Drosophila melanogaster: one gene and its partner. The protein of the gene in region 1 interacts with the protein of each later gene in a pairwise test. Each region holds a gene or a part of one and is shown on either strand. Other genes may lie near its edges. The genes, in order: CG4951 and Spt6.

What was found.
Region 2: the proteins of CG4951 (region 1) and Spt6 interact in a two-hybrid assay, tested with the Drosophila melanogaster proteins (one large-scale study listed by BioGRID).

The regions. Positions count from the first base shown.
Region 1 is NT_033777.3:27,951,527-27,956,186, reverse strand, and holds CG4951 (uncharacterized protein), read left to right. Parts: upstream 1-2,074; 5' UTR 2,075-2,134; coding exon 2,135-2,185; intron 2,186-2,240; coding exon 2,241-2,689; intron 2,690-2,845; coding exon 2,846-3,043; intron 3,044-3,101; coding exon 3,102-3,194; intron 3,195-3,262; coding exon 3,263-3,430; coding exon of another isoform or gene 3,431-3,434; exon of another isoform or gene 3,435-3,485; intron 3,486-3,504; coding exon 3,505-3,712; intron 3,713-3,772; coding exon 3,773-3,946; 3' UTR 3,947-4,136; downstream 4,137-4,660. Other genes in the region: Nep7 (neprilysin 7), read right to left, coding at 21-1,166; Gp93 (glycoprotein 93), read right to left, coding at 4,362-4,660.
Region 2 is NC_004354.4:6,265,910-6,273,991, reverse strand, and holds the start of Spt6 (Spt6), read right to left. Parts: upstream 6,196-8,082; 5' UTR 6,086-6,195; coding exon 6,047-6,085; intron 5,886-6,046; coding exon 5,801-5,885; intron 5,226-5,800; coding exon 5,020-5,225; intron 4,868-5,019; coding exon 4,748-4,867; intron 4,679-4,747; coding exon 4,527-4,678; intron 4,462-4,526; coding exon 1-4,461. Other genes in the region: schlank, read left to right, coding at 7,401-7,585. UniProt on the Drosophila melanogaster protein: Histone H3-H4 chaperone that plays a role in maintenance of chromatin structure during RNA polymerase II transcription elongation.

The DNA of each region.
Region 1 (4,660 bases):
ATTCACAGCATCCAACTCACCGCCATGTAGAGCCTGTTGAACAGATTTGGCAGCGTCATCTGGACGATCATCAAGCAGTTAACCTTTTGGTCCTCCGGCTGCTTGGGCTCCTTCAGCTTGTCGTCCATGCGGTAGAGAAACCGCATGGCTAGATAATTGGCCACCGCCTCCGTATGCTTGGCGCACACCTTGTCGAGCTCCACATAGTAAAAGTCGCAGAATTCGCCACCGGACGAGCCGTTGTAAAAGTCTATACCATTCCAGGCTATCTCGTAGTAGCTCCTCCACTGACCAAATCGCGGCACCTCCTCAATCTCACTGAGCAAATCGCACTTATCCCTATCGCTCTCGAACTTATCCTCAATACTGAGCGCCTCGCTCCAAAAAGCAAAGACGCCTTCGATCACGGCAGAGATTTCATCCTTCGTGAGATTGTATTCCTTCAGGTAGCCACGCATGCGATGCTCGTTGAGCTGGTAGGCCCGCGAGCTCGTATTGGCAACGTGAGCGGTGTGGACGACATGGTCAAAGCCCAGTTCGGGTAGCTTGAAGTACGGATTGAAGGGATGCTGCGGCAGAATTTCTTCGTGGATCAAACTGCGAACGCCGTAGTTGCTGAGATGGGCGCTCATGTTGAACCAACTGAAGCTGGAGGCGTTCCAGGCGTCTCTGTCGACGGCGGGAAAACCACCCAGCGACCTGATAACCGATAGATAAGCGGGATCGGCAGCGGGCCGCGGAAAGAGCTCGGCCGCCAGGCAGGAATTGTAGAAGCGTTGTGCAACGAGCAGCTCGGCGGACACGTTCAGTGCCTCCGCCAACTTTGTCCTGGTCAGCAGCTGCTCCGTCACGTCCATCAGTGTGTAGCTGATGTCCAGAATATTGCTCCGCCTATGGGGCGATTGCCGCGGCGTTTTCACGTTCTTCCAGTTGCCGCACGCGAACTCGTAGAAGTCGTCGCACGGATCGACGCTGAAGTTCATATAGGACTTCATCATGGCGCCATGGGATCGCAGGTAGTCGGCCGTCTCATCCGTAATCGCGTTCTCATGGGACTCGTCGCCAATACTCCTGGCCTCGCAGTCATTCAAAATCACGCAGATCAGGATGCAAACTGCCAGCCGCGTGTATAGGGGCAGTCGAAAGTAGCTCGAGATTGAGAGCATATTGGTCCGATTCGCAGGGCACACACGCAGTTTGTATAATATAATAAAGTAGTGCGGCCAGTGATCGATCGACCCGGATTATTTGAAAAACCCAACAAGCTCGACTACCTAATCCGGAACGCGATTGAGAACTGAGCAAGCAGCAGCATCTCTCCGATCCCATCGGCGTGTGCTTTTTTTTCGCAATCATGTTGACCAGCAGCACTGGACAACAGAGATTATAATGAATTATATTACTATGACGTCGTTCCGCACACTTTCACCATCTTTGGTGCGCATTCTAAGCCACTGCTTTGAATAATAAGGAGGAGGTCATGGGCATCCAAGCTATCTCTCTAGCCAACTTAGTTTTTAGGTAACCACTTTCGCAGAATGGGAACGATTTTGCTGCACTGTGTAGTCCGGCTGTTCTCTTGGCGAGACTTGACCTAAGCCACACGCTTCTGTTGATAAGGATTTGTAAGTTCTGGGAGATTCATTGATAGCGCCCCTCATTCATTCAGAGTAAAAACAATTCTCAGTTTTGGTTTCAAAATCTCATCGTCACTTGTGTCACACGATTGCACATTGTGAACACGTTCTGAACTTTTGTCCTAATTAACACTTAACACTTTTTTATCTTTGTTGTTTTTTTTTATAAATAAATGCATATATCAGGTGGATTCTTAATATGTTCATTATGCATAATTACTATTTTTATACTTTCTATAGAGATCTCTGTGGTAAAACGTAAAAGTATTTCTTGTCACGTTCCAAAAAAACATTTTGCAGTTTTCTCCAGATAATGAATATTTATGAATTGAATTCAGCTTAAGTTGATACTTTTTTGCCGCCCAAACGTCGATAAAAAAATACAATCGATAGACCACCAAAGCGCTCGTAGTGTGCCCAAAGATCCGCCCCGAATTGTTGTTGCTGTGCCTGTCAGCGGCTACGGTCACATCAGGACGCATAGCAATTTTATAAAAATGTCATTTTCCGCCATCGGTGATTGCCAACTAATTTCGCAATTATACCAGGTAAAAGCCACTGAGATGTGTGATCCGCCATGTCCTAAAGCAGCTCCCATTTCAGTACAAGAAGCACCGCGTCATCTGCAGCGTCAAAGTTCTGCCGACACCTGTGACCCATTTTGAGCGGGAATCCAAGAATGATTTCCATTGGATGACCGCGGATCGGTGGAGCCGGATTGAGTGTGGTCTATGGCGCCTGTTCGAGAACCTGAAGCAGTGGCAGGATGCCTACCAACTGGACACCGAGCTCATTATCGATCACATCATCGTGCGCGTCCAGGCGACCAATAAGTCGCATCCTGCAACGGTCGCTCTTCTGGCCGGTACGGAGTCCAGCTCCAAGGATCTCTGCCTGGACCTACAGCTGCAGTACATAACACAAGAGGACACCACCATTGTGGACGTCATTCCCGCCAAGCGCGAGCTTGCCACGGAAGCAGAAACAAATGGCACCAGACCCACATCCCGCAAGATCCGCGTAGCAAACTCAGGATCCAAGCCAAAAGCGGGGTAGGAAACCCTATTAATTAGTCCCAAATACTCCATAGGCTTGGATTGTGTGGTTTTTGATCCCAATAGCTATGAACCACCTTTGCACCTTTCACATTTTATGTACCGAAGTTGAATGCATTTTAATGTTTTCTCCACTGCATGTTTCCCCTCCAGCACACAATCGAAGCCCAAGCACATTGACGCCGACAACGAGGATGACAAGAGCTCCACCACGGCCAGCCAACCAACCAAGATCAAGAGCGAGCGCAGGTCCATTTCCCAAGGAGGCGAAAAGGATAAGGCTTCTTCCAGCAGCCCCAGTTCCTCGCAGCAGAGCAACCGCATTAAGCGATCGCACAGTCCATCACAGCAGTGAGTTAGGCGAAGGCTAGGATGTGAGAGAACTAAGAGCCTATTGATCTATTCGCAGGAATTCCAGATCCAGCTCCGTTGAGGCCAAGCCTGCACGCCGCTCCGGCCGATCGCCCATACGCCCGAGTCGATTCAAAAACTTCGTAGTTGGGTAAGCCATAGAAATATGGTGCTATAGCGATCAGTTTCATTCATCATTTCCCTGGCTGCCATTTTCAGCGAGACCAGGAGCGGCAAGAGCAGAGGACCCAAGCCCAAAGTGAAACGAGTATCGCCAGTGCCGGCCAAAGATTTCAAGGTGGAACACATGGACGGAGGGCGGTTCAATGCATTGCAGCGGCTGGACAGCATGCTGGACACGCCCAAGCCGCGCGAGGTTAAGATTTTGTAAGTGACTCGACTAGATGCAAATAAAGCGAACACGAATGTGCCTTCAACTTGCGTTCTTTTGATTGGCTCAGACTCTTGGAAAAAATGGGCGAGGACGAGGTGCTGAATACGTTCGAAAACTATCGCAGCGACTTCGATAAGCTGTTCAAGGAGCGCGAGTTCAAGCCGCGCACCAGTCACTACATGAACATTGCCCACATGGACGTCATCGACATACTGAGCAAGAGCATTCACCAGCAGATGCTCAAGAAACTGGGCGAGGTCTACAGCAGTCGAAGCGTAAGTTTGGGGCGTCCTGGAGTGACACACATATCCATCCTAACATGTCCCGATTACCAGAACCACACGTCGCTGCTGGTGAACGGACTGCTCCCGCTGTGGATAGTGCGCCTCTTTATGGACACATACACGCTGTCCCAATCGGAGGCCGTGCAGCAGATCCGCGACCAGATGAAGTACAACACCTACTTGAGGGCCCTGAACGATGAGCCGCTGAGTTCCGATCTTGACTGATCGAGCAATCAATTCACTTTTTAACTATTTTTTGGTATCCGATTGCGGAAATTTTACATTGCGCGCCATATTAAATAGGCAGTTGTTTTAGTTTTAAATTCATTTGTCTTTATTTGTTTTGATTGGAATCTGTTGTGTACTAAGCATATTACATTGTATAAATACATAATTCACTTGCTTTCGAAAAAAGAAAACGCTTGAGCAACCAAGTGTGCTGGCTGAAATGGTGGAGTGCTCTCTGGGCGACTGGCGGTGATGACGGCGTGGGCGAAGGACTACGAAATTATTTTACTTAGAATCTAGCGTGTAATGTTGATGGAGTGCCCGCCCGGCCACCCGGTGGCGGTTTAAAACTCAGTCTGAACTTCACACTCTTATGTACAATCTATTTGGACAGTGGGTGAGGTGAAGTAGTTTACAGCTCGTCGTGCTGCTGCTCCTCCTCCTCATCATCGGCGTTGCCGCTCTCCTGGCTGCCGGTGGCGGTCTCCTCGGCATCATCCTCCTCCTCCTCGTCGAACTCCACCTGCTCGTCTTGGGAGACACCCAAGGTCTGGCGCATCATCTGCTCAATACTGTCGGCGAACTGCGAAGTCTCCTGGAGCATGTATCCAGACCGCAGGGTGGCGGTGCGGAACATCATCACAGCCATGTCCTTGGCGGTGTCATCGGCCTCGTCGGCCTCCACGCGGCGCAGCAGCTCGCGCATCAGCG
Region 2 (8,082 bases), on another chromosome or scaffold:
TCGTGATACCTGGGCGTGCTGCCCGTTCCGGAACTGCTGCCGTAGTGATGCCTCTGACTGCTCGATGATTGCGAGCTGGGACTGGGCACATTGTGACCATAGCGAGGCGTCTGTGAGGCATGCGGCGTGTAGGGCGTCATGAACGGAGTCTGTCCACTGGGCGTGTATGGCGTATTGATGGCGCCAAACGACGGCGTCGATGAGCTGCCATAGTGGGAGGAAGATACTCCAGCCCCTGGAGCAGAACTGCCCGACGTGCCGTAGCCAGTGATGGATTGCGTAATGGAGTAGGCGCTGGAACCGCCACCGCCGACGGCACTGCTGATGCCACTGCGCGGCGTTCCACCAGTCACGCTGCCAGTGACGCTGTAGGGCGCCTGGGGGCCCAAGGAGGTCTGGGATGACGACGAGATCGTCGGCGGCGGACGCATCAAGTGCAGTGGCGTTAAGTTGGACGCCGAGGCGCTGGCCGGCGTGGCCGTTGGATCCAGCCAGTGTTCCTTAAACCAACGCAGCAGACTGTTAACCGTATCGAAAATCTGGCCACGGAAACGATAGCCCTCCGGCATGACCGTCACATACTCGTGACGCACCTTCGTCTTGGGCAGATAGGACAGCAGGAACTTGCCCGGCATGGCGCGTGAGGCCGTAAAAAAGTAGTGTATCTTCTTCGGATCATTTGCCTTCTCCTCGCGCAGCAACTTTTCCATGACATCCCGTTCATTTTCATCGCCGGTCACCATGTTTGGCTTGTAGTACTTGTACTGTATCAGTTCGCGGGCAGCCAAGGCCATCGGCATGATGTGGCGGGCGATGATCTCGTCCAGATCCTCGAACTCCTCGGTGCCGATCCACAGACTTCTGCCCAGGCTGAAATCGTTCTCTTTACCCTCCTCGCGCACATCGATGTGCTGGAAGATGTCGTCGGCCACCTTCCAGGTGGCTGTCAGATGGTCCTTGGACTTGCTGCTCGGACGCAGGGCCACCTCGCCCTGATCGGCCTCCGCTAGCATGGCCACCACCTCCGCGTACGACTTGTTGAAGAAGCTGGGATGGGCGATTACGCGACGCGCGTAAATTTTGCGCTTCAGAGCCCTGGCCTTGGCATCGCTCACTTTCCGATTGTCCTGCTCCTCAGTCACATAATCATAGTAGTTGTCGCGACGCGGCCGCCACTCATTGTTCACATCCTTAAGATCAGCGGTCCTCGAAGAGCATTCGACTGAGAACCGGTCAATGTCTATCTTAATGATGCGAACATGAATCATCTGTGAGACGCGCACACGTTCTTCGGGATTGCGAACCTGTCTATCGGACAAGTTCTTGATGTGTATAAAGCCAGGCAGGCCGTTCTCCAGACGCACACGCACACCAGATGGCTGGCCAGGGCACGCGTTCGCGTCAAAGTGATTCCACACCTCGGACAGCTCTGGGAAGTCGTCCTTGTGGCAGAAGGGGCACTGCCAGCTTTCGTTGGAATCTAGACGCACCGGATTTGCGCTGTCTAGCTGATCGCCCTGCGGCCGACGGTAGGTGAAACCGGTGACCATGGCCGTGACGCACTTGCCCACATAAAACGAGTCGGGCGTCTCCTTGGTCAGCATATCGAAGAGCTCCTCCGCACTGGGCTTTGTGTACGGAGTGCGGTAGTCCTTGTACAGGCAGCTCAACTCGTTCCTTATGTCGTACAAGGTTATGCTCTTGCTGCCGAATCCCTGGCGCTCCAGTTCCACAGCGAATGCGTCCAGATCGAGATCCTTAAGGCGCTCTGGCGACTCGAGAATTTCCTCAAGGGCACCGGCCGGATTGGTCTCCTCGTCGTCGTACTCCATGGCATCGATGGCCATCTTTCTGGCCCACTCGTACGTTTCTGGATGCACACGCGACCCGTCCAGCACCTCGACATACGCCTCTGTGCTGTCGCCCAGCGATGAGGTATCGATCTTAATGAAACCGCTGCAGTTGATAAAGACCCTGGGCCCCAGATGACACACGGTGACCAGCTGGGTGCGGTTCTCCAACCGCTGGTTGCTCTGCTTAAGAAGTTTAAGTAAAGCCTGACCCTTGCGCGGACCCAAGCCACAGATGTACTGCAGCAGGTTGATGGTCCGTGAGTTCTGCACCATCAGGTTAATGTCCAGACCCACCTCGCTCGTTCGATTGATAAACTGCAGGCTGAGCTGCTCCAGCAGCTGTTCGCGCGGCACACGCTCCTGTAGCGGATGGTAGCGCAGGCAGAGAATCTCGTCGTCCGCATCACACAGCTGTGAGTATTCCACTAGCGGATCCTGCATCTTGCGGGCCAGCGAAGCAGCCTGCTTCAGCAGAGGAGGATACTCCTTAAAGTCAGACTCGCCCTTCTTCGAGTTGGCATAGATCTTGGCCAGCTCGTTGTCGATTATCTCCACCTCGATGGGCGGAAATTGTTCGGAGGTCTCGAGTTCATGCAGAATCTCCTTAATGTCTGCCTGGATGTTCTGGGCATCGCGCGATTCCGCTCCGATGACAACAATGTGTGGCTTCTTCATTTTGATAAAGTCACTCAGCTTTCGAAGGTCGGCCAACTTCTGGGCCTTCTCCTCAAGGTTGTAAGAATTCTTGCGCTTCAGAATGTTCGGCAGTCGCAGGTAGTCGGAGATGTCGCCCTCCACGGTAGTCACCGCACAGAAAGCGGCCACTGAGTGATCGGGATCGTAGGCCAGACCCAGCACCCGTATGCCCCTCAGCGTGCTCCACTCCTCGTAGCCAAAGTCGGGGGGCAGTTGCGGTTTATAGGGTGCCACCTTTAGCCACTTATACAGCTTACCCGTGCAGGAACGCAGCACAAATTGCTGAGCCTCCTCGTGCAGAGTTGAGCGCAGCTCCTTGATCAGATCCGGAATGACCCACTTCTGCAGCGCCAGCTGTACGCATTCCGCCCGCAGCTTATTCCACTCCTGCACGTGCTTGGCAAACTGATCCAGCTGGTACAGGGCCTTGGACTCTTCCACATAGTCACCGGGTGTTCCGTTGGCACACGCATTGCCCTCGAACTCCTCGAGGAACGTTATCTCCAGCAGCTTCTCCTCCTCGGCCATCATTAGCTTTATGAATTGATCGCCAAATAGATCGCTTACCGGCTTCTTGGCCACGTACTTCATCGAATACACCGGCGAATTCTCATCGATCAGCACCATGCCATTCTTGGTGGGCCGTATGTTAATCCTAGCTCTGTCGAAATACACCTCACGCATGGTCTTGCGCAGCAGAGGCTCTTGTGCCAGCTGTCGGGCCACAACGTATTTTGCGGCATGGATAACCTCATCCGTGGTCATGAAGCGCGGCGACAAATATTGCTTGGCCAGCTCTGTGGGACCGATGCTTTCCTGGGTGATCTCATTGCGCTGGTAATTGTCGCGCAGATTTTCGGCATACTGCTCCGGCGTGAGACCAAAGTGTTTGGCAAAGCCGCAGATGCCCGCCTTGCGGAATACCGCATAGGGACTGCTGTTGGACGCCTGCTTTAGTTGGTAATCGATCAGCTCGGGATCGTCATCGTCTTCCGGCTCTGGTACAACTATCGCCTCGGCCGCATCATCACCGTTCTCAGCGGCGGCTGCCTGGCGACGCGCCTTGGCCTCGCGACGCTCCTGTATAGCTTTTCGTCGCTGCTCCGCCTGCATGCGGGGCAGCTCATGCGAATAGTTCAGCAGAAAGTACATGTGCACGTCCTTTAGCTCCTCCATCGACTGTACGTCGGCGAGGCGCTCGAAATCGCTGTCCAGGATGAGGCGAACATCATCCGGTACGGGTTGATCTGTGTCGGCGCATAGCGTGTCCAGCTGGAACTGACGCATCTTTTCGAAAAGCACCTTTAGCTTGCGCTTTCGCTCGTTTAGCTGACACCAGATCCCATCGTAGTAGTAAACCTTCCAGAGATCGTCGATATTAAGCTCTGGCTTCACATACTCCTTGCGATAGAAGGCTATAAAGGGCACCTCCAACTGCTGGTTGCGTATAAATTCTAGCGTCTGCTTAATCTTGTTAACGGTTGTCGGTGGTTTGCGCATTTTCTCGCGGCTCTCCGGCTTTTCCTGTTCCGAAACAGTGTGCTTGCAGAAGGCATATTTGTAGATCCATTCAGCCTCGAGGTCCAGCTCGTCTGATCCCTCGGGCACCGGGGTTACGGGCACCTCTCGCAGCTGCATTCTTTCTGGGATGTCTGTCTTGCGAATCTCGTTGTCCATATCGGTGAAATGACCACGCTTGAGCTCGCTGGGCTCGTATATGTCGAAGATTGTCTTCTTGACCACCTTCTTTTTGAGCGCTTTCTTCTTCTTGACGCGCGTATCATCGCCGACGCCCAGATCCTCATCGTACTCATCTCCTTCCGAGTCATCTTCGTAGTCGTCTTCCTCGTACTTTGAGAAGTCGTCATAGTCGAAGTCTACGCCAAAGATGTCCTGACCCTCTTGAAGTGATCTGTGGTTGGATTATATTAATCGTATCTATTGATATCTAAACTTTATTATAGTTTGTATACTTACGCGTCTGTAAAGATGGGGCGCCGTTTCTTCTTCTTCTCGGCTATGGGACGCCCATTATCGTCCACAATGAAGTCATCTGCGTCCGACTCCGTATCCACGTCGTCGTAGTCGTCCGCCTCCCTGTGACTGCGCTCGCTGCGATGACCAATGCTCTGTAGGATCAGGGGCAATCAGTTGGACACTGTGCATTAATTGGTGGTCAGGGATTACTAGTGGCATACCTCATCGTTCTCGTCGAACAACTGCTCGGCAATCTGCTCACGCACCAGACCCTCGTCCACGTGCTGCTCCTCGCCATCGCTTTCGTTGTCGTGGATGCGACGCAGACGCTTGAACCGCTTCTACAAGGGAAAACATAATTTCAAACAATATATTTGAGGAGATAGAAGCCCCAATCCCTCAGCTATGTTATTCTTTGTTAGTTAAGCTTCGAAATTGGAGCCACAATTGGAGTTTAAAAAGTACATAGTTCTTCCCTGAAGGGAACACCTACCCGTCTCTCGACTTTGACGCCCAGATTCTCCTCGATAAGATCGTAGTCGTCGTCCTCCAGTCGATCGTCCAGATCGTCGTCCTCGTGCTTTTTGCGCTTCTTGCCGCTGCCGACGCCATCGGAATCGTAACCACTGCCATCGTCCTCCTCGATGGGATTGTCGTCGATCAGATCTTTGAGCTCTTCGCGCAGCCGTTCCTCGTCGTCTACGGAATAGGGCAATAAGAATATCGGTTTACCTTTTACCTTCATTGTAGCCGCAGATATACATATGCAACTGAAAACTGTTTTTAAAGCTTAAATTTAAGTAATTCACCCGGTTTTGAGAAAGACCTACATTTGATAAATTACCTAGATTTCGATATAGATAAGCCCTAACCATTGATTATTCCAGCTCCATCTATTGAACTAATTCTCCCTCCCTGCTTTGATTTGCAATTTCTTGGAATACGCCGCGTTCTTCCAATTCGCCGCACTTGTTTTATTTACTGGAACGAGCGCAGCTGTTTGTTGTTGTTGCTGCTGCTATTGCTACTGCTGATGCTGATATTTGATGGCCACGGTAGCACGGTAAAAACACAAGACCTAACCTCAAAGTTGTAAACAAAAGAAGTTGCAAGCGTGTGGCATTGGCCAGTTATAGGTGCCTTTATCCCGGATATGGACTGTTCCGATCGATGGATGGTGAGAGGGGTGAAAAACCCGCCAGAGATCGCCACATACGTATGTATGTATGTATGTATTTGTACGCGCCTTCAGCGGCTCCAGTGGAAAAACTCACCTTCTTCTTCTTCGCTACTATCGGAGACGGCCGCCTTCAGTTTCTTGAGTCTCTTGCGCTCGTTGACGTCCAATTCTTCCTCCTCCTGCGGGAAAAACGAAGAAAAGCCATTTGGTTAATTCAATATATATGTAGGCACATATGTATGTACACACACGCAAGGCGCAACGCACACCGCACACATAACGACGCACGAACGGTACGCGCTTCTAGAAATAGTGTTTTTGGGGTTCCGCAGACACCTACCTCCGATTCCTCGGCCTCGGAGTCCAGAAATTCGGCCATAATATAATGGAATAAAGCTTAACTTAATAATAAAGTGCGTATTAATGCAGAGAAACGAAGAGTTTGTGAGCGTTTCTTCCTCTTCTCTTCTTCTTTATTTCTCATCGCATTGCACAAAAGTTGGTATTAAAATACTAGCTAAATACTAAATACCACGAACAGTTTTCTACTGTTTACAGTACAGTTTGCTGTTAGCTTACAGCAGTGTTCTCGCTGCCAGCCCTGGTTTGCATTGCAGAACTACAGTGGATCCTTCCTATAACCTATGGTTAGTTATCCGTTTTCATGTGCTGACAACAATTGGACAAGAATTTTGCACACATACTTGTATTGATAAGCGGGAAAATTCCCCTATATGGGAACACACATATGCCCTTTGGTCTCAACGATGAAGTTTGCTAATTTCCATTATAGTCCATGGCATACTTCCTTTACATAGTTGACTTTTATGAGTTCTTACCGAAAAACCAACACTAATTGTAGCGCATAATAATTTCTCTCAAAAACTAGTGGTAAACGTAATGAACAATAATAATAATAAGCAATAAACAAAATTCGCAAACTTGTGAATTAAAAGTTCTTTAAAATTATTAGTGCATTTGGTATTTTGTGTAGCTTCTAAAGCCTTATTTTTGCTGGCTTTCCTTGTCTTCCCGTACACGGGCACACTTGTCGCGCTGCAGTTACATTTACTGCTCCGCCGTCTCTGGGCACACTGTATTGTTGTTGCTCGACGAGGAAATACTATTAGTATTTTTTTTCGTTCATCCTGAAAGTTTAAGTGGACGAAACGAGCGGCGGCCGACTCGACACCGAGCCGAAATTCAGAAAGTCTATTGCTTTGGTCGAGAACAGATTGTCAGGGAACTTCACTTCATTTACGCTCCCAAACAAACGGCAAAGGTAGCATTTCCAAAAACGAATTAAATCGAAATCCAAATAGAAATAGAAGTAGAATTAGAAAAGCCATAAGCGCAAGTTAACGAGACAAGACAACAACAATTCGATTCGGCGGTTTTTGTTTTTTTGCCAGTGTGTGTTTGTGCTACGCTGTGAGTGTGCATTAGTGTCCGGTGCTCCTGTTGTTGTTCTTGTTGCTGTTGTTGTCGCTTATTGTTGTTCTTGCTGTTATTGTTGCTGTTGTTCGCAAGGCACAATAACACAGGCTCATACAATTGCGAATATTTAGAAAAAGCAAAGCATATACATATGTGACAACAAACGCCAAGGAAAAACTGGAAAGCTAAGCAAAGGAAAACCAAGAAAAAGAAAACAAACAATTGAGAAATTAAGAAGCGGCAACTGAAGCAGCAACATGGACATATTGAATGAGTTCAGCAATGTATTCTGGAGTACGCACATTTGGCTGCCGCCGAACACAACCTGGGCGGACATTGCGCCCGGCTCGCGTCCAGATGTGGTGCACGCCAACTACAAGGACCTCATATGGCCCATTCCATTCGCCGCTGTTGTCATGCTGGTCCGCTACACGCTGGAGCGGTAAGTTTTCCACGTCCATTTTCCCCCCTCCGCACTCTTCCCAACCAACTGACTGACTCCCTTTCCATTCTCGCCATTCCCGGCAACATGATTCCATTCCGCCTCTTTCTCTAACCCCATTCATACGGCTTTCCCTCGCTCTCTCCCGCTCTTTCTCGCTCTCCTTACCATTGAGTAAGCCCACCGCCCCACGTTTGTTGCACCATGTACAGTAAACTTTATTCATAATTCCTTCTTTTCTCCATTTCATTTCATTTTTTTTTTATCGACAAACATAACCTCACGTGGAAACGCCCAACATTCTGCAAGCGTCCGTGTAAATATATATATATATGTGTGTGTGTGTGAAACAGCGCTTGTTTGCTTGTGTGCGGTTTGTGCGGCATACACGCGTTTTTTGTTGCTGCAACTCGAAGTTTTCCCTTTCCAAGCGACGCCGGCTGCAGTTTCCAGCCAGCCGGCAACGAATTTCCCACAAAATATTAGCCCCACTCCAT